Linked DNA regions of Caenorhabditis elegans. The protein of the gene in region 3 interacts with the protein of the main gene of each other region in a pairwise test. Each region holds a gene or a part of one and is shown on either strand. Other genes may lie near its edges. The genes, in order: hsp-43, ZK666.8, lec-3 and F26F2.3.

Region 1 (6,284 bases), on a different chromosome or scaffold from region 3:
GCTAGCTTCACTTGGGGTTTTCGGTGGTGGAGAACGACGAGTTGGCATGACAAGGTTGGCTTTCAAGTTTGAACTTTTTGACGATGAGCGGGAAACACTACTAAAAACATTTTGTGTCATGGTGGTGATCAGAGGTATGCGACATATGGATTTTGGAATTTAAATAAAATCAACTTTTTTATAGATAAGGAGTTACCTATATGTACATATAAATGCATATATTCAATCATTTACCTCATCTTTTCCGCAGCTGAACCGGGTCTTGAGCCAATAGCAGATGCCGGACGAGAGCTATGAGTCAGAAGCTGCATTAGATGGTCTACCTGGAGTTGAATGCCATGCTGGTTGCGAAGATATCCATCAAGCTGGAAACAAGTTTTATGGTTGGGTTCTATATGATTTGGCATACTTTATCTTCCAGGTGAATGTAATTTCCGTCACTCAGTTGCTTGATATTCCCAATTTTCTCTTCCATATCTCTTCTGGTCTCATTGATGACTTTCTGAAAAAAAGTTTTTTTTTGAAGATTTCCTTTTAACATCTTTCATACCAAAAGTTCATCGATGTCTTCTCCTGCAATGTTGCTCGAAACTAGCTTCACTCTTAAACCCTCTTGTATTTGGGCCAATTCGTGAACTTTATTTGTCAATAATGAAATTTCATTTTGGAGAGGCGCAACAAACTGAGTTTTACCCTAAAACATCTGGTATTCTGGTTTGTTTTCCAATGTATGTTTACAGTTAACTCAGCCTCCAATTTGTCGAGCCTATCGCAAATATCCTTGTATTGACGTGTTTGCTCCTGGCGTGCGACGTCAATGATTGGAGGCTCTTGGGAAGTTTTCTGAATGAAAAGTTTCAAAAAAAGAAGAAAGAAAGAATAAAAAGTAAGCATTTCGGACGGTTTAGTGCAAGAACAATACAACTGTGTTTGTGCACATACCTTGGTCGATGGGCTCCGAAGAATTTCAATAATACGATCCAACTTTTTGTTGATTTTTGAGAGTTGGTACTGAAACAAAAATGTTGAAACAAATTTTTTGCAGAGTAATGCTCACCTCAGCTTCCACGTCAGAGTGATAGTTGTGACTTACAACCAAATTTTGCGGACGTTCTGGTTTTGGAGCTCTTGGAGGATATGATGTAGGGTTTCTCACGATATTGTCGAAACGTTCATTATGCTACAAATAAAAATTGTTTCTGGTACTTTGAATAACTGGAGTTTTAGAATTTTCGTCAAAATTTAATTTTTGCAATCAATTATCAAAAAGTTATTATTCTAAATTGCATTTTAAATATATATATATATATATATATATATATATCTGAAAATTATCGTTGTTTTTAATTCGATTTTAATAATAACTTCTTTAGTTTTTAAGACTAAACTCACATCATCAATAAAACGCCGGTAGATGATTTCTTTTTTGGTGACCAGCGGTGGATAACGGGACATGATCGATAGAAAAGAAGCGTCGAATGGATTGTATTATCAAAGTGAGAAATGATTGTATTTTGTTGTTTTTTTTTGTGGCTCCATCATTTTTCTTTTCATCTTTTCTATATCATCATATTTTTCTCACCTCAAGTTCTAGATTTGAAACCAACAAAATCGTACTAAAAATTAGTAAACAAAAAGCATAAATGTTTATGTATAATAGTAGGTGTACATTTGAAAGTGGAAAAGCTGTGAATAGAGTATATGGAAGCATCAGAAAATATATTGTTTTGTTTTAAAAGCTGTAGGCAGAATTTTGTGAAGTTTTGAAGGAGAACGGGTATGAGTAAAAGCATAAGGTTTTTGGTCCAATTAATATGTCTTGCGGAGAATTTGAATTGATCGGTACTCGCGTTGAGTTGAGTTTGGTGAGTCCGAGTTTCCATTACGAAGAATTCCAGTTGTAGTGCTCACTGGTGACTCGACCCGGTATCCTGAAAAATTTTACCACTTCAGTTGATTGAAGAACCCTCAATGTATAGCGAAAACTCACCTCCATTGCGACTTTCTGAGCGATGAGACTGAGCGCGAGAGCTTGAACGCTCCTCGTGAAGATTTGCATTTCCAGCAGTATTATATGACCCTAAAATTCCAATTTTAAAACTTTCGAATTTTCAAAATCCAAGTTTTCAACAAATAATGTGTCATTAACGATCATTTTTGACCAAAGGCGCAACATGTTAATGTTGTAGTTAATTTGTGATTGATGAGAAAATCCAAAGTATTGTCAGTAAACTGTTGGAAGTTTACTCTAATTGTGATGAGGGAAGTGGGAAGTAATTCGTGTGAAATGTGTGTAAATTAACTAAAAAAGAGAAACGCGATGTGCGAAATTGCAAAAATGACCTCGCTCAAAATTGTTTCGAATGGTTTCGAACGCTTTTCGACCCGGCGACCGCTGTTCCGGTGTTACTGTCCGCTCTGAAGGTAATTATGGGATCTAGATAGAAAAGAGAAATAGAAAGAAAAATGAAATGTGGAAAGAGAACACGACAGAAAGCAGTGTTTTGGAAAGTTGGAAAATTTGAATTAACTATGTATTTTCAAAAACTTACCACTTGTTGTGATACGAGGAGTGACTGGGCTATATGTTCGGTTGTCATTTCTAGTGATGTTAACATCATTTGGGGAGAGACGATTGCGAGAGTCGCTGCGGTGGTAGCTGAAAATTTTTATTTTCAGATACTCACTATCATTATCTGTAGGATTACCTGTAAGAATGAGAAGAATACACGTCTCTCGATCCTGGACTATCATTCAATCGCGATCCACTTCTGCTAGACACGCTCCTCCCGTCGTGCTCAGTCTGGACATGAATTGGCGAGTTTGGTCCTCGTTGCGAACGGAGTGTTCCATTTTCAAATCTTGGTGAATGGTGCCCGGCTCCTTCGATTGGGATCATACGCTCGCGACCTTGCAATGCCATGTTGTTGAATTTTCCAGCCTCAACTTGAAGACGTCCTTTGGCATCAATACTACTTTGAATCGAGTTGAAGTCTACGTCTCTTGGAAGTTGGTACTTTCTGACAAAGTACATTTTGGTGAAGTTATCTTTATCACGAATATCCTCATGTCTTCCCTCAATCATCAGAGTATCATCAAGAGTTTTCACTTGAATTTCTTCAGGACGGAATTGATAGCAATCCATGTCAACGGCAAATCTACGATCATCATTAACCACATTGGAGTTTACGTCAATTCCCTCCTTGAAGATTGGCTCAGCCCATCTTGGGTAGAGATTCATCCAGTATGGATCACTCCTCCAGTTGCGATCCATGCGATCAAGTTGACTGGAAAACTGCAAAAAAGTTTCGATGTGTTTCTGTTCATGCGATTTGAATTATTACTCTTGGCATGACGGCGTCCATACGGGGCCAATCGGTTGGCCAATCCTTCCACCAACTGTCGACGTCACGGGAGAACTGAAATGCAAAAAAAAAAATGATTCACAAAATATTCTGATTCATCGATGGAGAAATTGGCTGCCGATTTCCTCTCTTTTCACTTTTTTTTCAAATGATAAAAAAAACAAAATGTTTGTTCAGATTGAAAAGGAGAGAGCATTCGAATTTGAGGAAAATTTAGGGGAAACTGGTGAAAACTGCCAAATTTCAGTTGGCATGGAACAAATAAACCAAGAAGGGGAAAGCAGTGAGATTTGACTCTCTTAATGGTGTATATGTACGTAAATTCGAGTAGGGCTGTCAAGTAGACCAACGACGACGACCGGATTTGAACAGTAAAACGCCTGGCAAAATATAATAGTAGCCAGAGTGAAGAGCGTGTAGAGGTAGGTCGCGGATGAATAGCCCCCTATGCCTATTTCTAACAATTGACTATCGGAAACTAATAAGCCGCCCCCAATGAATTGGATACCCGGTGGAAAAAGTCCCTTGGTTTTGGCCAATCAAGAGGCCAATCACGGAAATCGTCGAGCCACAGGTCGTTCTCTTTCCAGAGTTTGTCACGAGTGAAATCGGCATGACGGGTTGCAAGAGTCATTTTTTGAACTGGGGGTGTGGTACTTCTGTAAAATAATAATTGTTATTCCGGTTATGGGGAACGGCAGCAATGAAACGATGAAGTACAAAAACACACAGTTTAACATAAAACCTAATAACTATTAACCTTTGTTCCAAAACACAATGTCACACAATGTGCGCTATCATAGTTTTAATTTTTAATGGAAGTTAAGAATCGGTGAACAAAAAGTGAAAACCTCTAAAAGCCGGAACACAAATCTTGCAAGCTTTTATAAGTTCTGTCTTGCATGGAAAGGTTGGAGAGTTTTGGGCGTGGTTTTAACCGCTCTCACCTTCGTCTCGAATCTTCGCCGACCCCACCGACGACTTTTTTGGTAAATACCACGTGAACAGAGTTAGAATGCGAAAAGAGGGGCGCAATCAAAAGGAGGTCTGCCAATGTTGACTGTGTTTCTCTGTCAACACTGTTATTTTGGGGGCACCGGAGGTCGGAATGGAAATCATCAAAGACGGTTGGCAAAAAAGTTCACCGGAAGGGGTCACTTAAGTTTGAAAACGGAAAATTGAAAATTTCAGATAAAAACACTTTTTCTCAAAAAAATATGACAGCTGAGTCGTGTGCTCTGAATATTCGATTGACATTGGCGTTGTTATATACCCATTTTGAAAAGAGAAGGGCGTTGGCCGCCGGTCAAAGTTACCCTATTTCAGATGAGTCAGAACCAATTGACAGAGAGAGGCATAGGCAGTTCCATTTTGTCGCTCCCGCCTTTTCTTCACGTTGGACGATGATGATCAATGTGATATTTAATCAGTGGAGGAACGACGACAAGAAAAAAGGGATAGGGTGATCACATGGATTGGAATACGCCCTTTCTGGACTATTCCAACAGTTTTGCAATTATTTCGAAAATATTTCGAAACCGGCTTTTTATGAACCATTTTTGGTCTCATTTGTCTAATAGAACAACGCCTACAGAAGTTTTTTTGGAACGCTCTGAACAGTCATTCTATGTGTTGTCATAAACGATATTGAAATACATTACATTTTTTCGCATTAGAGGAATTTTTGAAACTGGTTGACTGCGTTTACTGCAAAAAAATTGGTTGAGATTGAATATCCATTCATAGTTTGTTCTGTGAGAAACGAAAATTGACTTTTTCCTATTTTTCAATCATTCTGCCTATAATTCTTTTTGAAGCACCATAAATCATTTCCGCACTGCACTCTAAAAAATTCTGAATAATTTTTCTGTCACTCAGCCCACGCTTGATTTTGGGAGAAAAAACGGGGAAAAAGCAATTTTAATCCATTCGACGCATTTTCCGTGGTTTTTGCTAAACCAATACTGTAATTGAAACCTAAATTTGTCCAAAACTGGGTGGTGACGGCGGTTGTGTGAGTTCAGTTTGCTTTTCAGAGTAGTGTTTGCCTGTGCGTGAGTAAAATACACAGTTATGAAGGAAATAGTAAGGGTGAAAAATTCAAATACTGTTGGTTATGACTAATTTTGGGTAAAAAATGGTTTGAGGTTTTTTCGCGGAAAGCTTAGGAATTTCATGATTTTAAAAATGATTTTGAGAATTGCTAGTTCCAACCAATTTTTAATTTCCACAAATTTAAATGTTATTAATAATTTATGCATAAAAACTTCAAAAAACGTGAACATGTATGTATATTGTATTTCTGATGAAACTTCTCACTCTAGATTGGAAAAAAACTTTTATACACCAGTATTAAAAAATTACTGATTTCCTTGTATTTCAGTATTTAAAAATTTAATAATATAGTTGTGCAAATATTAAATGTAGTTTTGTACGTAAATTTTTAAAATTTGAATTTTGTCTTTGTTTCAAATGTTTCAATACAAAGCTGCATTCATTATAATTTAATACCTACATTGGTAATTTTTTAAAATTAAATTTTAAATGAATGAAAGATGTCTACGCCAACTATTTTCAAAAAGTGTATTCAGGTTTAACATAAAAACTGGTAAAATACTTCAATCATTAACAATACACTCATTTCTAGATTCATCAAACTTTTGTTTTTTCCCGTAAGTGTTGCTCCCTCTATTCAAAGTGCGTCTTTAATTGCGGTGCATCTTCACATTAATCTAGCTAAAACTTTTTCCGGCATCCAAAGCTATAAATAAATGAATAATGTAAGATTAATTTAATTCTATTAAAATTTTAAAATTGATTACTTTCCCAAATATCCTCTTGTTTTTTTTTGAAATAAAACTTCGGGTCAAAAGTCACAACGTTTCTTGTAGCTAGTTCAAAACTGAAAGAATACATGTT
Region 2 (5,483 bases), 500 kb from region 3:
TGACAAAAACAAACAATATTTTCAGACATTTGGGCGTTAACAGGGTGTAAAAAATTTTAATGATAAATTACTTGTTTTGTTTCAGAAAGAAAAGTTGAGAGGGTCTTCGTTACTATTTTAATTTGATTGATTTTGTTGTTAAAGTACAATACACTTCGTTTCAAAACAATCTTCGTTTGACTGAAAATTCAAAGATCAAAACTTTATAGTTTTCGTCGGGAATTAAATTAATTAGTTAAAATTGAGTGAAAGATTTACTTCCGCTTTTGATTGTTCGTGTTCTAAAATATTTTATTTTATCCCCTAACATCACATAAATTTATACCTTATTCAAAACATTACTCAATTTTATTGGTAATAATTTCACAAATAAATGAATAAATAAATAAATTGCCAACTTATAAAATAATCAATTAAAAATAATTATGCTTATTGGATGTCCAGTTGTCCATTAATCAATGCATTATGTGAAACCAAGAGCCAGCGGTAGAATCTTCTCACCAAAAACGCTTTATACAATCCAGCAATAGATATTCCAAAAAAGAGATATGCAATATAGAGAGGCGTTGTATTGGGATATATTGATTGTGCAATAAGATTTGCTCCTGAGAAGAGTAGACAAGTTGACCATAATACTATTTCAACGTGTCTTAACCAAATGAGCATGTTTTCCACATGATAACGAATAGCCAAGCATGAAAGCGTTTGGAAGATATGAAAAACAATGGCTAATTCGATACAATATTGCGGGAAGTCAATCAACGCAACAAAAGATGCTCCGATTATCATCAGAGTCAGTATGAGGCACAAGTTTTCGGTGGAGATTTTGTTGAAAAATACGGCTGGTTGTTCTTTGTCCTTGAAGAGTCGAACATGTTGAGACACTGAAATTTATTAAATAAGTATTTAGATATAAGAGAAGGTCTATGTAGTTTTGCATAGCTTAATTCATCTTCCAAGAGAGAAACAAAAATTTTGAATTCACACACAGGAACATCAGAAATCTCACAGATCGCGAAAATGTATTTTGTTCGTGAGAGATCTTTTTTTTTCTTTGTTCTAGAGCACAGTATCACAACTGCCAAAAAAAAAACACTCACCGCTCTGGATTGAATCCCTTCGGTCCTCCACATGTTCCACAAAAGTGAGAACGGTACAGTCGCTAATCGTAGCCATTTTGCCTCCGATCGATTTCTGAGAGTCCACGTTGTGAACGGAGATTTTTTGGTTTGAACGAGAGAAATACAGAGACTGTTAAACGATATGCATGAAAAATAATAAAATGCATAACAATGGGAATACATTAAAAAAGATGTGACATGAAACGAGGCAAATCGAATTTCAAGCTACCATATTCAGAACTGCACACGGAATAAGATATTAGAACCAAGAAAGGAGAGAAGCTCACTACTTTCCAAAAGATGCATGCTAAATATGGAAAATCAGTTTAAAAAAAAAGAAACAGAATGATTGCCGTGGGCAAAGCAAAACATATCTGAAACTTGGCTGTACTTTTGAAATTTTTTGGAGTTTCTCGATTTGTTGTTGAAATTTTGAGAGCATTGAAAACAGTAGTTTTTGCAATCAGTTTACACGAACAGAAAAAAAGAAAATAAGTAATTTTCTTGTTAAAATTCGAATACTATTGATTTATTGAATGTTTTCAAACAGTCAAACAAAACCTGATCCCTTTTTGGGAATTGCCGATAGAGAATAACATGATATATTGCCTGTGATAGGCGATCAAAAAGTTGTTTCACTGGTGTGAATATATTAAATCTTAATGTGACTTTATTTACCTAATAGTTTAGTATTTAAAATTTTCATGAAAGCCTAAAAAAAACGGGAAAAGTTTTACGGCACTGTAAACTGCAAATTGCAACTTTCAAAAGTTTTTTCGAAGTTTTCAACAAATTAAATGATATTTTCTAATCGAACATGAATTTCTGTACCAAATTTTTAAATTAAAAAATTGGGTTATTATGTTAAAATCTCCAAGTTAACGTTTCAACCTCATATAAACAGAGCCACTTCTCTTGCCCTCTTACGCGCTAAACAAATCCTCAAATGTTTCTCCTCTTCTTCCCCTAAATTCTATATAAATATGTACAAGACCTACGTTTCCCCTATCCTTGAATACGGATCAGTCATATACTCCCCTCCACCAACATCTAAATTATCAAGCACACTAGAATCTCCCCTCAAATACTTTTCTAAACGGGTCCTACAGCGCTGCAATATTAAATACAAAATAAAAAATGCTCCACAAACACACAATGCTTTCTCCAAATCCTACGAAAACCGACTAAAAATTCTAGGAATTTCATCAGCCCGCTCTCTCCGCCTAAGAGCCCAACTATTGCTTCTATACAAAATTCTTACCGGCGCAGCGCACTTCCCAAAAAGCAGTGACTTTGTTACGCTTGCTAACTCGTCTCGTCGTCCGATGCTCATTAAAAATAAAAAATCCCAAATGTCGTAGCTTTTTCTCCCAAGTAGTGCCAATATGGAATAGCATTGTACGCAACTCTAGCTTTTTCCTCTCCCCATCACAATTCCTTTCGCTTGTTGATTGTCAAATATCTAAATTCTGATCTCTTTCCCTCTCACTTAAACTCGCGCTCTGTTGGGCCGAGTTTATTTTAATTTATTCATCTACACGTGTAAATATCATAACCGGTTATGTTTTTCTTATCATATTCTTTTTGTTTCCATGATGAATAAATAAATAAATAAATAAGCAATAATTTTTCCACTGGCCTTCACATTTAGAAAATTAATGTGACCGTGAACTCTCAGAATTTTCTTTCAAAGTTAGTAAAAGTACGTGGGAATCATCGGAATAAATACTGTAGACAAAAATATTTTAGTCATTTCTACATTGTAATCAAAGTCAAAGTCGTGAGCATTCATATAAATGATGAATCCGAAACATGTTGAGGTTTGTTCGCTTATTTTTTCAGTCTCAGACTAAAGATTGTTTTTGAAGGGAGCTGAAAAATCGGCCAAGTCCGCAGTGGCTACTGAGTTTTCGGCAAAAATGAGTAAAGAGGAGTCGACAAAGGAGTCTTCGGTATCCAAGCGAACAGTTCGTAAAGATCAGATAGTAAAACCAAACAATGAAAAAAGTGCGAGAAGTCTTAAATCTCCAACAAAACAGTTCAGTGTGGTGCCACGTTTGAAACGCCCAGACCCCACTTCTACTCCTTTGATGCCTATCGATGAGAAATTCAGAAAACGATGGCACATTGAAGGAATCATCGGTAAAGGTGGTTATGGCGAAATTTATTTGGCAATCGACATGAAATTGGCAGAAGAAGTGGCAATAAAGGCAGAACCATTGGTACGAAAAGGCAAAATTGCCAGGCGAATGATTTTGGAACAAGCAGTTCTCGTAAAACTCCAAGGGAAGCCTCATGTTCCTTGGATTTTTGGATCCGGTCACACAGAAAACTTCAATTTCATTGGTAAGTTTAGTCTAAAAACAAATTTAAAAAACATTACCTCGTTTCAGTGCTTCAACTGCTAAGTGCCAATCTTGGAGATATTCGTCGAATGAGTCCCACACGTAAATTGAGCAAGTCATCAGTTGGAAGAATCGCCGTTCAGGCCATTGCTGCTCTGCGAGATCTACACGACGTCGGGTATCTCCATAGAGATATTAAGCCAGGAAATATGTGTTTTGGTATCACTTCCAAAGTTGGTCTTGCAATAAATTTTCACAATAGATTCCATTATCTCGTTCCAGACACGTCATGTTTTGATGCTTCTCGACTTTGGTCTGGTACGTAGATACAAAGATCCAGATGGTGAATGGCGAACTCATCGGGTTAAAGCTGGTTTCCGAGGCACTCAAAGATATGTATCTACTCGTGTTCATCGTCGGCTCGAACAGACACCGACAGACGACATGGTGTCCTTGTTGTACACATTGATTGAGTTGCTGGCTGGAGAGCTTCCGTGGAGAAATATTGAAAACAGTGATGCCATCTGGAAAATGAAAGATGAATTGGTATGAAGCTATGTTTGGATCTTAATAATACTTTTTGTGGTTTGCAGCATCATGGCCAAATTGATCACTTCCATGAATCGTCTCAAGAGCTGATTGAATTTTCTCAACTCGTATCACGTCTCGACCCAATGTCTGAACTTCCGTATACTACTCTTCAAGCATCCGTCAAAAAGTTGTACCTTCCGAAAAAGTTGTCAGATCCGTATGATTGGGAAGAAAACTTCAAAGACGCCTTGTTGGAGAAGCCACGTTCTACTGAAGACAGCTCCTAGTACTTATTTTTCTTGTATTTCCATATGAGTTTACAATAAAAATTATTTTAGAATATGATTTTCATTGAATGATTTTGGGCAAATTCAAAGATCCGCTGTTTAACACTTTAAAAATTCAGTGTTGAGTATTCCGATTCTCAATCAAATTTTCATGTTTGGTGACCTCTTTTTAAAGAAAAGTTATAAACATTTGTGCGGGAAAATATGAATTTTTGTAGTGATTAGAAAGAAATAAAGAACTACTTAAAATGACACATTGTTTTTTTTATCTGCTAGACATTTTTCAAAATATTCGTTAGGTTTCCTTTTTTTTCTTTTTTTTTCACCTACTTTAGTCGAAAGGCCAAATTAAAACAAAAAATAATGAAAAATTGAGCAACAAGACAAATTAAATTTGAACTTTAAAAATCAAATAAACTTTCAGAAGCATGTCTGGAGCATGCCTGGTAACATAATAAGAATACAAATATTTTACTTCAGTTGCAAAAAATCAACATATTGACTGGTATTAATCCCTTTTTTTGCAAACCAGAAGTTTACCCATATTTTGTGTTTGTTGATGTTTCGATCTTTTTCGCTTTGTTTGGAAAACCGTTCCGTATCAAACAAAAAAAATGCAACATCAGCAGTTTACGAATTATCTGAAATTGGTGCCAGTACGTGCTCACTTCCGATTTATTTATGGTTAGAATGTATCTAGGATGATCTTCGTAGTTGTCTTGCACTACAACTGACATTAGCTATTATAAAATTGTGTTCAAAAATTTAGTAGAACCTAAAAAGTTTGTCTAATAACAAAGAAAGCTATTGAATGAAAAATCGCGAAAAAAATTGCATCTGGGTAAAAATAGTGATGTGACAGTTGACAATTTTCTCCGATTTCTGAATTTTTCTAGGAAGTTTTAAGTCTGGGTAATAGTTCGGCAACCACCATTTTTCCTTTTTTAAATACCCATAAAGGAATGATGGTTGTAGTGCCAAATTTGCAAATTCTTCGAGTGTAAGCTTAAAAACTACATTTCAAAATGCACTGCCACTCCTCTTCCCATTTGCCCAATAATTCTACTTCTACTTACTTCCATTTCAAAATTTCGCGACGATGTATCTTTAATCTGAGGGGCGTCCTCTTTTCCTGACCCATCTCGAGTCACTGATAAGATGTCAGAAAATTACAAATAAATAGATGTGAAAATGCACAA
Region 3 (6,429 bases):
TTTCTGTGTGTTTATGTATGTGTTTTAATGGTTTTAGTTCCTATAATAGTCAGAAGCTCGAACATCAAATGACCTACCTTTCCCTCGTCGAAACGGATGGAAAGATGAAGAGGCACGTCGTTGCCGGAGAAATCTGGAGAATCCTTGTGGAGATTAATGTTGAACCTGCAAGTTTCTTCGGGTTAGAATTCGAATGAATATTGTCAAAATCTCGATTACCTCTTGGACTCATCGATAGTCTTTCCACGAATGATCAGAGTTTGTCCGGGCTCGATGCGCTCGGTGAGCTTGGAACGGTATGGGATGTTCTGAAATAATACGAAATATTAACTTGAGTTGTTGGAATTTGTTTTTGAGCTATTCCCGAAATTCTCGGTTTCACAAAAAACATCGGGAGCCACTCAAAAACTTGATGGTTAGATTGGACATCACTGGTTGAAATTTAAACTGAAAAACTGAAAAAAAGAGAAACTGAAACTGACTGAACTGACACAAAACTGGACAAACTAGAACTAAAGTTCACTGCAAGAAAAAGCACTGCACAGAATTTCAGATTTTCACGGTCCTACAAGAAGACGATGAAAATCTGCACCCAGAACCCCCAATAAAAGTCCTACGATATATTTGGCACAGTGCCAAACCGACGGCATATCATCTCCAATCGTTTCGTAGCAAGTTCCCAGTGGGTAGCACGATGAGGTGCTCGTCGAGCAAGAGCTGGATGTCGAGCAACTCGGCAGACACGGCGGCTGCTCTTTTTGGTTCTTTTTCTGATATTGCTGAAGCCACGTTTTGGGACTCAGTTGACCATGGTCACCAAGTCCCAAATTAAGATTCTTGATCGACAACAGTTTGGCGGATTAGACGAAGGGAGCTTCGGGTAGAAGATAGAACAAGTGGGGGTGACAAAGTGAAGCAGCAACTAGGCTTCAAGAGTAGATGCTGGGGCGGGCGGTGGCTCAACGAAGGGAAGGGAGCCACCAAAATGTGGGCGTGGCCTATTTCTCAAGGGGAAGAGGCTACTATTGTTTTGACACTTGGCCACTTGCCAGCTGGATTGAAGTTGGAAAACGAAAGAAAAATACACATAAAGTGTGATGTGACTTTTTGTTGAAAAAAACGTTTTTTGGAAAGTTGAGTTGAGAGTAAAGTTCTCATGTCAACTTTCATGAATCTTGGCAGAATACAGCTATACGTCACTATTTGTGGCGCAAAGTTCAAAAGTTTAAATCAGCTACCAACTAGGTTCAAAATGTTCATGGCGTTAGAGCAAGATAGAAGAAAGTTATGTAAGTTGTTCATAAATTATATTATCCAGTTGTGTAACAATCCGATTTTTTGAGGCAAAATAACGGTAAATGGTCTCGACGCGATCGAAAAATTTTCACTTGCGCATTTAAAGAGTTCGTTCCGCAATTTTTATCGACTTTGCTCTTAAAATTTGGCAGTTAAGGAGAAAATAGCATTAAGAACAGGAAGCCGAAACTATTAAACTTTTAATGACGCATATTCCATTGCTCAGAAAATTTTCAGTCGTGTCGAGGCGTAATTTTTGACCAAAAATGAAATTGTTTCGCAACTTGGTAATAGGCAGTTGCTAACAATCATGGGGTTCGTTTGTGATTATTAATAATAGTTCAAAAACTGTTTCCAGATTTCCAAATGCCCGCTGCAAAAACCTAGTTCATGCTCATGGGCTAATAAATATAAAATTATTCAATTCCAACAAATTCTCACTTTTTCTTGTTGCCAATAGAGCGCAGATTCTGCCACCCACAATGAAAAACTGACACTAATCTTGAAATAGGAGAAAATAAACAAAAAGAAGAGGGGGAAATCCTCCTTGTCTTTTCTTTTCCTGCTCAATTTTTCTCTGCCTGATATTGGATTACACCCGGAATTTCCGTTTCGCATCTGATTTTGACTTTGTTGCAACAAGTTGCACACACACACACCGGATTAAAGCCTAAAGTTTCCCGGAGCACAGAGCATAAAACAATTTGTCTACGTCAAATAAATTTTTGGAGAAAAAGAAAAATGAGCATGAATCAAAGGGTAAACTAACAAAAGGGGGAGTGAGAAATCTAAGCGAGTAAGAGAGCAAAAGGACATAAAATGTTTATGGAAATAAGGGGAGGCGGATGTGTATGTCTATCTGTGTCAGTTTTGGCTTCAGTTAAAAAAAGAAAAGTTGAAGCAAAAATATTTGAATTAATTTGAATTTCCACCGACTCAATTGTACTTTTTCTGCAAAAGAGGGGGAAGATTGTGCTAACGGTTCGTGCACATAAAGGCTTTTAGATTTATGACGTGGTTCCTATGAGCCCCGGGTCACATAACCTAACAAGAGGAGGATAAGCTCCTATGGGAGCTCGGCTCGAACTAAAAATAGCAACTTGAACTGGGAAGTGGATATTTTGAGAAAAAAAAGTTTAAAATGAAGTGAAGATTTGTTTGAAAGTGGAGAATATTAGAATGTATGGAGGGTGTAAACATCGCATAGCATGTTTTTTTTTCCAATTACAGTTCATATTCTATTTGCAGCTTTTTGTTCTACTTTGACAGCGAAATAAGTATTCCAGCACAAAACAAACTTTGAAGCTCATATATCTCCCTAAAAATATCACTGAAATTTTTATAATTTCACAATCAGACAAAAAAAAACATGTTTTCAATTTACAATGTGTTCTTTGTAACTTCTTTACAATTCATAAGCTAGCTGAAATTTCTTCTTATTACTCCCATTCTTTCTATTTACATAATTTCCAGAAATGCTTCAAGCGTACATTTTCAGACCAAGCTTTCTCCACTTATGAAAATTCAATCTTTGATGTCCTTTTTACCACCACCCCCACACTAAATTACAATTGTCTCTTGTTCGAGCACATAAAAAGCTCCATCGTGCTTCTTCAAGATTCAAACCTCAATTTTATGGTTCACCAAGTCGGCTATTTGTGTTAATAAGGGGGTGGCATTTCCGAGAAGACTGTAATGGGGTAGAACAGAACAACACGCAATGTTTTTTGTGTTAGAATTTCCAAATTAGGAGGAAACTGTCATTTTTGAAACTCAAAAATGAAACAAAAAACAGAATCACATGCACACAAAAAAAACAAAAACCGGAAAGATTGCATGATCGAAAAAAAAAACTTACGAAGGATTTCGGCTCGGCCATGATGATCTCTCGAAGATAAACGGGGAGTCGAACGGTGGTCCTGAAAAAATTGGGAATTGAAATATTTTATGATATTTTTCATAGCTGTTAAGGAAAGTGAGAAGTTGTACAGAAGTTGGAAAATTACATAATTATTTGCTCTAAAAAATTTTCGTTTGTACCAACATACCCATGACCTCTCTTTTTCTTTACAGTACCATTAGTAGTAGGTTCTGTAACTGCTAGACTTTTCGATCTTCGTCGAAACATTTTTATAGGAGAGAATAGTTCAAATTTGGCGATGTTCTCCCCTATGTGAGATGTACAATATTTGTGTTGGTTTTGAAGAAGAGGTTATGGCTACGCTGGTATCAAAACTATATTTGAACATCATAAACGTTTTCGAAAGAGTTTCGAGAACTAAAAGGAAGATTAAACAATCCGAGGTTTTGTGTGAAGAAAAATAGTATATATTTGATTGAATTGTTACAGAGAATGGAAGGAAGAAAGAATGTGATAGATTGTAGAAAAAGAATAGGCGGGAAATAAAAGTGTGAGTCATGGAATTATGGGAATGAATTCCCGTGGATCGTTTTGGATGCAGGGAAAATTATAAATGATTTGATTTGGTTGGTTGCGAGAAATGTTATAAAATTATACCAGTTGTTGGAATCTGAATTTTTCATGCAAAAAATGATTTTGGAAGTTGTCAATTTGTCAGAAAGCGGCTGAACCGTAGCTCGAACTATTTTCGATTAGTTTTAAGGTTTTAAAACAGGGATAAAGTGTTATCAAGACTATTACTTCTGAGAATCTGTATGACTTGGAGTTTTACGAGAAATCCTTATTGGGAAAATTTGACAAAGTGGGCATAAAGATTGAGCTTCTAAATTAATCAAGTGAAACAAACTACAAAAAAAAACAAAAATATATAAAATTGAACAACCAAAACTCACATAATTCCAACTAAATTCAAGTTAACACCGACAAGAGTCGAAATATCAGAAACAACACAAGAAATAAAAATCAATCAAAACTGATAAATTGTGAGGTTAACAGGTGGCGAGGGGTTTTTCCCACTGCTGCTGATCTTTTTTATTTACTTCCCGCACGTTTCATTTTTTTGAACTCAGAGACAAAAATTATTGGGTGTGGAAAATGAGATACGCAGGAGGGATAAGGAGAGAGTTGGACAAATAATTATATGTCATTAGATTTTGAAATTAATTTGGATTTCGAAAGTGATTTGGAAAACCTACGTTTTTTTTAGGCAGAGTTAGTATGCTCACGCTAGTAGAAGTGCTTGCTGGAACCATGGTTTACAGTTTAAAAGAAGTGAAAAAATTTCAAAAAGTTTTTACTTTAAACAAAAACGCAATCATCCAGATTGCCGCAAAAAATACAATGTACAGCTTTTTTTACACAAACAATTTTTTCAGAAAAATCCAGATGCAAATTTGCAAGAGAACTGTAAAAACTGCACATTTCAGTCACTATTTATACCAACTGTATACATATAGTTGGTGAGAAGAAAAGAGAAAGACAAAAAATATATATACAACATAATGTATCTTCTCACTTTTTTTGCAATTTCTTTCCTAGCTACTACTCCACCTCTTCCTCCTACTCTTCTATCCTTGCTCTCCGATCACTCATTTGCCTCTTTTTCATGCTTTTCTTTTCCATCACTCAAAAATTTCAAAAAAAAAAACGTTAACGAAGAACATATGACTCAATTGAGGTCTTGGATAGTGAGTGAGAAAAGATATCCGATATGTTGCAGTTGTCGTTTTTTTTTTTCTTTTAGGTTTTAATTTCTAAAGGAAAAAACTCTTACGTTTTTCACATTTTTCGATGTTTCTGAATTTTAAAAACTAGAGTGTGATAGTAGAATTTCAGCGGGAAGGTTGAAAATGAACAATAGAAAAGAAAAATAATTGAATGTGATTAACAGAAAAAGAAAGAAAAATACATAAAAACCAAGTATAAGCATTTTGAGACAATGACTCACTACAACTTATTTATTATTTTCTATTCCAATATTTTGAAATTTAGTAGATTTTTTTTTCCGAATTTTAAAATAAACAACAATCAGGGATCGACTTTTGCTATTTGGCCTCGAAAAAAACTCGGTCATCGATTTATATTTGATATTTTATTCTTAAACTTGAAGATCTTTCAAAATTTTAAAAATTTTGGCCGAGCCGATTCAAGGAAGGAGTCTATCTAATTGGCATTTTGCCAAATTTGAAAAAAAAAACGGTGAAAATTTCCAACGGTTTCAATTCAGTAAAATCTAGAAATTTGGAACTGAATCTAAAAAATTCAAAATCCTGTTTCTGGAAATTGAGGTGACGTTGAGAAGTTAAAATTACTAAAAAATTCGCACAGTCGTAAAATGACAAAGAAAACGGAACACACTCAACATGTTCAGTGTCATCGGTTTCTTGAAAAAAGCCTAGCAGTATAAGTGTCACTTTTGCCAACTATTTCCAACATTTCAAAAAGCAGAAGAAGCAGAAAAGCTCATAAAATTCCGACGAAAACTCGCTTCAGAACGACAAAATAGGCCCCCCATGTTTCACATAAATATTTTCAGGGCGTTTCGTGCCTGAAAACCGGTTTTTTCGATTTTTCGGGGCCGGTGGCATTGGTGGTCGCCGACGTAACTATTTTATCAGTTTTTGTGTAAAGGGGTACTTAGATTGTAGGTACTTATATTGGTTGATTTTCTTGATTGAAAGTGGCATTTTCTATTTTACTTTCAAACTGCAAGAGACCACACAAAAAAATAGGGAAATCGCAGAGAATGAGCTAGAATTCCATACGGCAATCCATGTAAAATTGAGGCAATGCAAATTTTCATATACGTTTCGACGCGTTGGCACTCAATTGAAATGATGAAAAAGTGGAGAGATGAGAGAGAATCCGGAAGAGAGAAATGAAAACATCAACAATAATAAATAATGATGAGGGTGGAGGATTACGCAGATTTGTAAGCGCAAATCATGAAAAATAAAAGTTGAAAATTTACGTTATCTTGTCATGCGGTGCAAAGAGAGTTGAAAAAAGTGAAAATTAGAATTTTAGATATCAAATACCGAACTAAATTACTAGAGACTCTAGAGCTTAAGATTTCAAGCAAAAAATCACCAAATATTCTTTGAAAAAATAAAGCTTTCAAGCGTTTCAAGCTTCAAGTCTTGAAAGACTAAATTTATAACAACTTTATAGTAATAATAAGTAGTCTGATTTCTTTTATATTGTAAAGGATT
Region 4 (4,980 bases), on a different chromosome or scaffold from region 3:
CATAACCTGTCAAAAAACTAACCGCGAGGCGTCATGAAATCTGAGGAATATGAAAATTCACTTTCAAGAGCACATTTCTTTCAAAACTTTTCCTTGACAGGACGAAATGATTATTAGCAATTTTTTTACTTTTATAAGGAATTGCTATGCCATTTTTTGTATAAAAAAGATTGCAGTCGAAGGAGCATCATATTCTATCTGATTTGCTTCTCATTTTTTATATTTTATTGTTTTTTTAATATTAAATATTTTAATCTAGATATGTGCTCTGAATTTTTTCGATGATGCCTTTCAATTTTTCTGGGGATTATTATATTTCTTAAAATGAGAAAACATTTTCAGAGGACTATTCCAAACCCAACACTATGAGTGACAACAATACACTGCGTATGGCGGAGATGCTGGATAAGCAAAACTCCCAGCAAAATGATTTCATGAAGGTCGAGTTTTTTAAATTGTTTTCTGTAAATCAACAGTTCTATTTTAGTTCATGATGGAGATGAACAACAGTGCAAGATTGTCCGACCAGGCAAGAGATGATCGAAACGCGATTCGAAGTGAGAATAATCTCAAAGAAGTCTACAACAAGTTGGTCGAAGCACAAAAGAAAGAGAGTCCCGTGGACATTTCCATTAAAATCAGAAGATGAAAATAAGCCGGGCAACTGTTTGCGGCTCTAAATCTATTTTTTTCGTTTTTTTTTAATCTATTGTAATACGGTCTATCTTAATTTCATAAAGTTAAACAAAAAACGCAATATGAGGGAGATTGTGAGTTTTTTAAACCGATTTTGCACTTAATACGGAAAAAAATTGCCCGTAAATGGCGGATAGTGAATAAAATCGGAAAGATATGTTTTGCAATGATTGAACAAAGAAGTATCGTTTGAAGGCATAAAAATTCAACGGTTTTCTATGAATGATGACTCCCATGAGGTCGCCGCATTTATCTGAATGGCGTGAAATGTAGGGCGGCGCGGAACCACAGATGTGTCGGCCGCACGGTGGTTCAGTCACGGTGGTTCAGTTGCTAGATGGGTGCAAACGCGCTCCACCGAATAAACGTGCATAACTTGGCCAGGAAGTACAAAATCGAAAATTCATCACAAATAAAGATAGGCATCGAAAAATCGATTTTGTGATGGTTTTCGAGATAGTAGCCAATATAGATTTCCAGACTGAGTATCATGAACCAATCCATCTAGTTTCTGTGCTACCGTGCAGTTGCTAGATATTGAACTCTAAGCAATCCATATCACAAAAAATATACTGTTAGAATTACTGCCTCTTTATTCTCATTTAAAAATCGTATTCTCTCATATGAAAACTACACAGAAAATAGATCAAAAAGAGGAAAAAAGTCCAGAAAAGGTTATTTATTGATTTATATTTACTAAAATCTTCCAATAAAAGTGTTCTTGATTTCTTCTTCTCTCATCCTCCTCTGTGCATCACTTTCCGCGTGTTGTGCCTCCAATGCCGCACGGTTATTTCTCATAGTTCTCTTAACAATTATTTCAATAATTATATCAATTTTATGAAACTCACTTCAATTTGATCGAATCCGTTTGTATAACGTGGTTCCCGATCCATAATGCATTCCCTTTCCTGGAAAGTTATATTTAAATGTCGTTCCAAAAATTGAAATGTTAAGATTGTTGATGAGATTGTTATTTGTTCAGAAAATAGAGAAACACGATTTGTCGAAAAAACTGAAACATCAGATTTAGGCTGATTTTTTTAAGGCTGACCTTGATGCTAACAGAATTTTATGAGGCTATTCTCGAATTGTTTCTTACCCTCCGCTGCTCATTTCGTTCATGGTGCCCACCACTATTTCTGCTATCAGCTTCATATTCTCTCCCATAAACATTTCTGATGCTTTGGTCGTTTTGTCTCCGCGTGTTTTCCCATCTTCTTTGCTCGGCTATTCTAGCTTCATCTTGCAGTCTTCGCTGAGACTCCTCAAAGCTCAATCGACGAGCTTCAATGTGTTGATTCGGCGTATTGAGTCCCACTATATCAGCTTCTCTGTAGTTGTGAGATTTACTCCTTCTCATCTGAAACGAATACCATTAAAATTACATTCTAACTATTACAAATACCTTGATTTGAACATTCTTAGCTTTGGCAGAGTATGGAATTTTCAGACATACTCCGGTAGGGTAAGGATAGTATGATGGTATTGTGAACGAATAACGCTGGTCATCTGTATGTGCTCTTCCTGAGCTTCTGGTTTGGTCAGAATGTCTGCTTGTTTCAACATTACGAAGGTAGATGCCCTGTCCATTGTTGCCAGTTACTTTTAGACGTAATCCGAGGTCACGATAAGGAATGTCGGGGGTTATTGTGAGTTTATGAAAAGGTACACGCTGACCATCCAACTTTGCGCTGCCTCTTCTTACTTGCACCTGAATATCCGTTCCTTCTTGATGCTGGTAAAAATGACTGACACTTCCATCTCTTTGCTGCACATTGGACAATCTTATGCGATCCGTCCCTCTTGAATCATGGTTTTGCTCCATTGTTATCTAAAACAGCGTTGATAGGAACAGGGGTGACTGCTGAACGACAAGTTTGGCGATTGGTAAAATTGGAAAATATTGGCGAGCGGCAAAGTTTGTGAACACTGAAAACCAGCACTTTCAAAAATTTTCAAACAAACTGAGGTTTTGCATTCTTTGTTTGAAAATTTAAAAACCTTGAAAAAGAAAATGTGAAAAAATCTTGCAATTTATAATTAAGTTTTGAAAATCGTTAGCCAGTAAGAAAATTAAACGTTCCTGATCACCGACATTCTATTAATACTGATAAGAAAATTCCTCATAAACTGGAGTATTGCTCCAAATTATTGGAAGATAACACAGGTTCTTATACGGGCTAGGAACAGGACGGAAAGTATTTTCCAATAAAATTATAAAAATAGAAAAAGAAAACTGAGGAATATGAAAATTAACTTTCAAGAGAACTTTTATTTGTTAAATACTTTTGGCCGGAGAAAAATTCAAAAAAATAAATGAAAGTAAGACAACTGAACATTCGTGGTCTCCGCTCTTCAATTTATACTAAACTGATAAGAGCATTCCTTATAAATAAAAATATTGCTCCACATTATTGAAAGATAACACAATTCCTCATACGGAAGAAAGTGCATTTCAATAAAATTATAGAACTAAGAAACATAACCTGTCAAAAAACTAACCGCGAAGCGTCATGAAATCTGAGGAACATGAAAATTAACTTTCAAGAGCACATTTCTTTCAAAACTTTTCCTTGACAGGAGGAATTAATTGTTAGCAATATTTTGATTATTCATGAGGAATTGATGTGTCCTCTCAGTATAAAAGAAGCTTGCACTCAAGGGAGCATTATATTCTCTTTATTTTTTACCCCATTTGTATCATTAATTTTCCTGCAACATGTTCTAGTAAAACACTAAAACTTTATATTTAAATGATGGTTACTAAAAATTGTGTTTTTTTAAACAATTAAACGGAATTTTGTTATATTCATTTCAATGTAAAGCATAATTCAGAAAACAATTCCAACACCCAAACAATGAGCGACAACAATACACTGCGGATGGCGGAAATGCTGGATAAGCAAAATTCCCGGCAACATGATTTCATGAAGGTTTTTAAATTTATTTTTTCTATTAATTAATAATGTTTAATACTTTACCTAATAATCAATAATTAATAATTTACCACAAGTATTATATTTCAGCGAATGATGGAGATGAACTACAATGCAAGATTGTCCGACCAGGCAAGAGATGATCGAAACGCGATTCGAAGTGAAAATAATCTCAAAGAAGTCAATGCTGGTTATCATATTTTTATTTTCAATTGTAATAATTGTTCATTCAATGTTGTTCATACTTCAAATAGGAAAAAATAATAAATCAATTATTATTATTATTATGATTATTATTATTACGTCTTTGACAATTCGGCCGAAGCACAAAGGGAGGAGAGTCCCGTAGACATTTCCATTAAAATCAGAAGAAGAAAACAAGGGAGACAATTGTTTTGGGTGTTCTTTATCTATTGCAATTTTAAATCTCATCTATTACATTTTTGTTTTAATCAAGTTTTCTTAAAGTTAGCTATATTAGCTATATACTACCTATATCTATCTCGTTATTTTTAAAATAAACACAGTTTTGGCGTGTTTTTTAATCTTGTGTAACACGGCCTCTCTCAATTAAAAAAAAATTACATTTAAAAAAGTAATAATCTGTCTCTGCGTCTCTCATGAGCGAGAGAGTGAGTTTTTAAACTGGTTTTGCACTGAATACTGAACAATTGTCTGTAAATGGCGGATAATAAAACAAATCAAATGTTTTACTCTGATTGAACAAACAAATAGCGTTTAAATGGCATGCATAAAAAGCAAATTTGACGGTTTCCTATGAAACCTTTGAATACGTAAATTTGGGAGATATCGAAATTAGTGATTTTTTTAAAGTATAATATGGTGCAAGAAAGGTTTGCCACGTTCAAAAATAAAATCAAAATTATACAATAAACGTCTTCAGTGTGTTTTTAAACAGCAATCAAGCCCAGCCTAATGTAAGCATAATGTGCTACTTGTACCAATATATTGTGGTCAACAAAATATTTGCCGTCAGTTTGAAAAATCATATCAAGTTCTCATAACTCCCATCATATTGAGGCATGAATTCATGTTAATCTCTGTTTCCTTATGTCCTTAAATAAATTTACATCTCTTTGAACTCCAAACAATTCATATCACAGCAAAATACACAGTTAGCATTACCGACATTCTATTAATACTGAACTGATAAGATAATTCCTATAAACTGAAATATTTCTCCAAGTTATTGAAAGATAACACAATTCCTCATACGGAAGAAAGTGCATTTCAATAAAAATTATAGAACTAAGAAACATAACCTGTCAAAAAACTAACCGCGAGGCGTCATGAAATCTGAGGAATATGAAAATTCACTTTCAAG

The links.
Region 1: the proteins of lec-3 (region 3) and hsp-43 interact in a two-hybrid assay, tested with the Caenorhabditis elegans proteins (one large-scale study listed by BioGRID).
Region 2: the proteins of lec-3 (region 3) and ZK666.8 interact in a two-hybrid assay, tested with the Caenorhabditis elegans proteins (one large-scale study listed by BioGRID).
Region 4: the proteins of lec-3 (region 3) and F26F2.3 interact in a two-hybrid assay, tested with the Caenorhabditis elegans proteins (one large-scale study listed by BioGRID).

The regions. Positions count from the first base shown.
Region 1 is NC_003284.9:6,231,518-6,237,801, forward strand, and holds hsp-43 (SHSP domain-containing protein), read right to left. Parts: upstream 4,027-6,284; 5' UTR 4,000-4,026; coding exon 3,874-3,999; intron 3,420-3,873; coding exon 3,345-3,419; intron 3,296-3,344; coding exon 2,709-3,295; intron 2,660-2,708; coding exon 2,553-2,659; intron 2,419-2,552; coding exon 2,344-2,418; intron 2,081-2,343; coding exon 1,991-2,080; intron 1,932-1,990; coding exon 1,810-1,931; 3' UTR 1,634-1,809; downstream 1-1,633. Other genes in the region: C14F11.4 (AIP3 domain-containing protein), read right to left, coding at 1-100, 235-365, 410-502, 551-694, 739-843, 943-1,011, 1,058-1,180, 1,393-1,455.
Region 2 is NC_003280.10:10,490,520-10,496,002, reverse strand, and holds ZK666.8 (non-specific serine/threonine protein kinase), read left to right. Parts: upstream 1-2,868; 5' UTR 2,869-2,917; coding exon 2,918-2,941; intron 2,942-2,989; coding exon 2,990-3,467; intron 3,468-3,514; coding exon 3,515-3,699; intron 3,700-3,748; coding exon 3,749-4,012; intron 4,013-4,059; coding exon 4,060-4,284; 3' UTR 4,285-4,341; downstream 4,342-5,483. Other genes in the region: ZK666.14 (Transcriptional regulator), read right to left, coding at 430-884, 1,101-1,176.
Region 3 is NC_003280.10:9,988,155-9,994,583, reverse strand, and holds the start of lec-3 (Galectin), read right to left. Parts: upstream 3,425-6,429; coding exon 3,345-3,424; intron 3,222-3,344; exon of another isoform or gene 3,216-3,221; coding exon 3,155-3,215; intron 2,328-3,154; exon of another isoform or gene 2,247-2,327; intron 2,130-2,246; exon of another isoform or gene 2,009-2,129; intron 965-2,008; exon of another isoform or gene 651-964; coding exon of another isoform or gene 618-650; intron 442-617; exon of another isoform or gene 309-441; coding exon 220-308; intron 166-219; coding exon 78-165; intron 1-77. UniProt on the Caenorhabditis elegans protein: Binds galactose.
Region 4 is NC_003283.11:20,564,018-20,568,997, forward strand, and holds F26F2.3 (Transthyretin-like family protein), read right to left. Parts: upstream 2,538-4,980; 5' UTR 2,525-2,537; coding exon 2,105-2,524; intron 2,060-2,104; coding exon 1,799-2,059; intron 1,608-1,798; coding exon 1,548-1,607; intron 1,504-1,547; coding exon 1,393-1,503; 3' UTR 1,272-1,392; downstream 1-1,271. Other genes in the region: F26F2.13 (DUF305 domain-containing protein), read left to right, coding at 366-440, 488-649; F26F2.9 (Transcription termination factor Rho), read left to right, coding at 3,558-3,632, 3,726-3,899.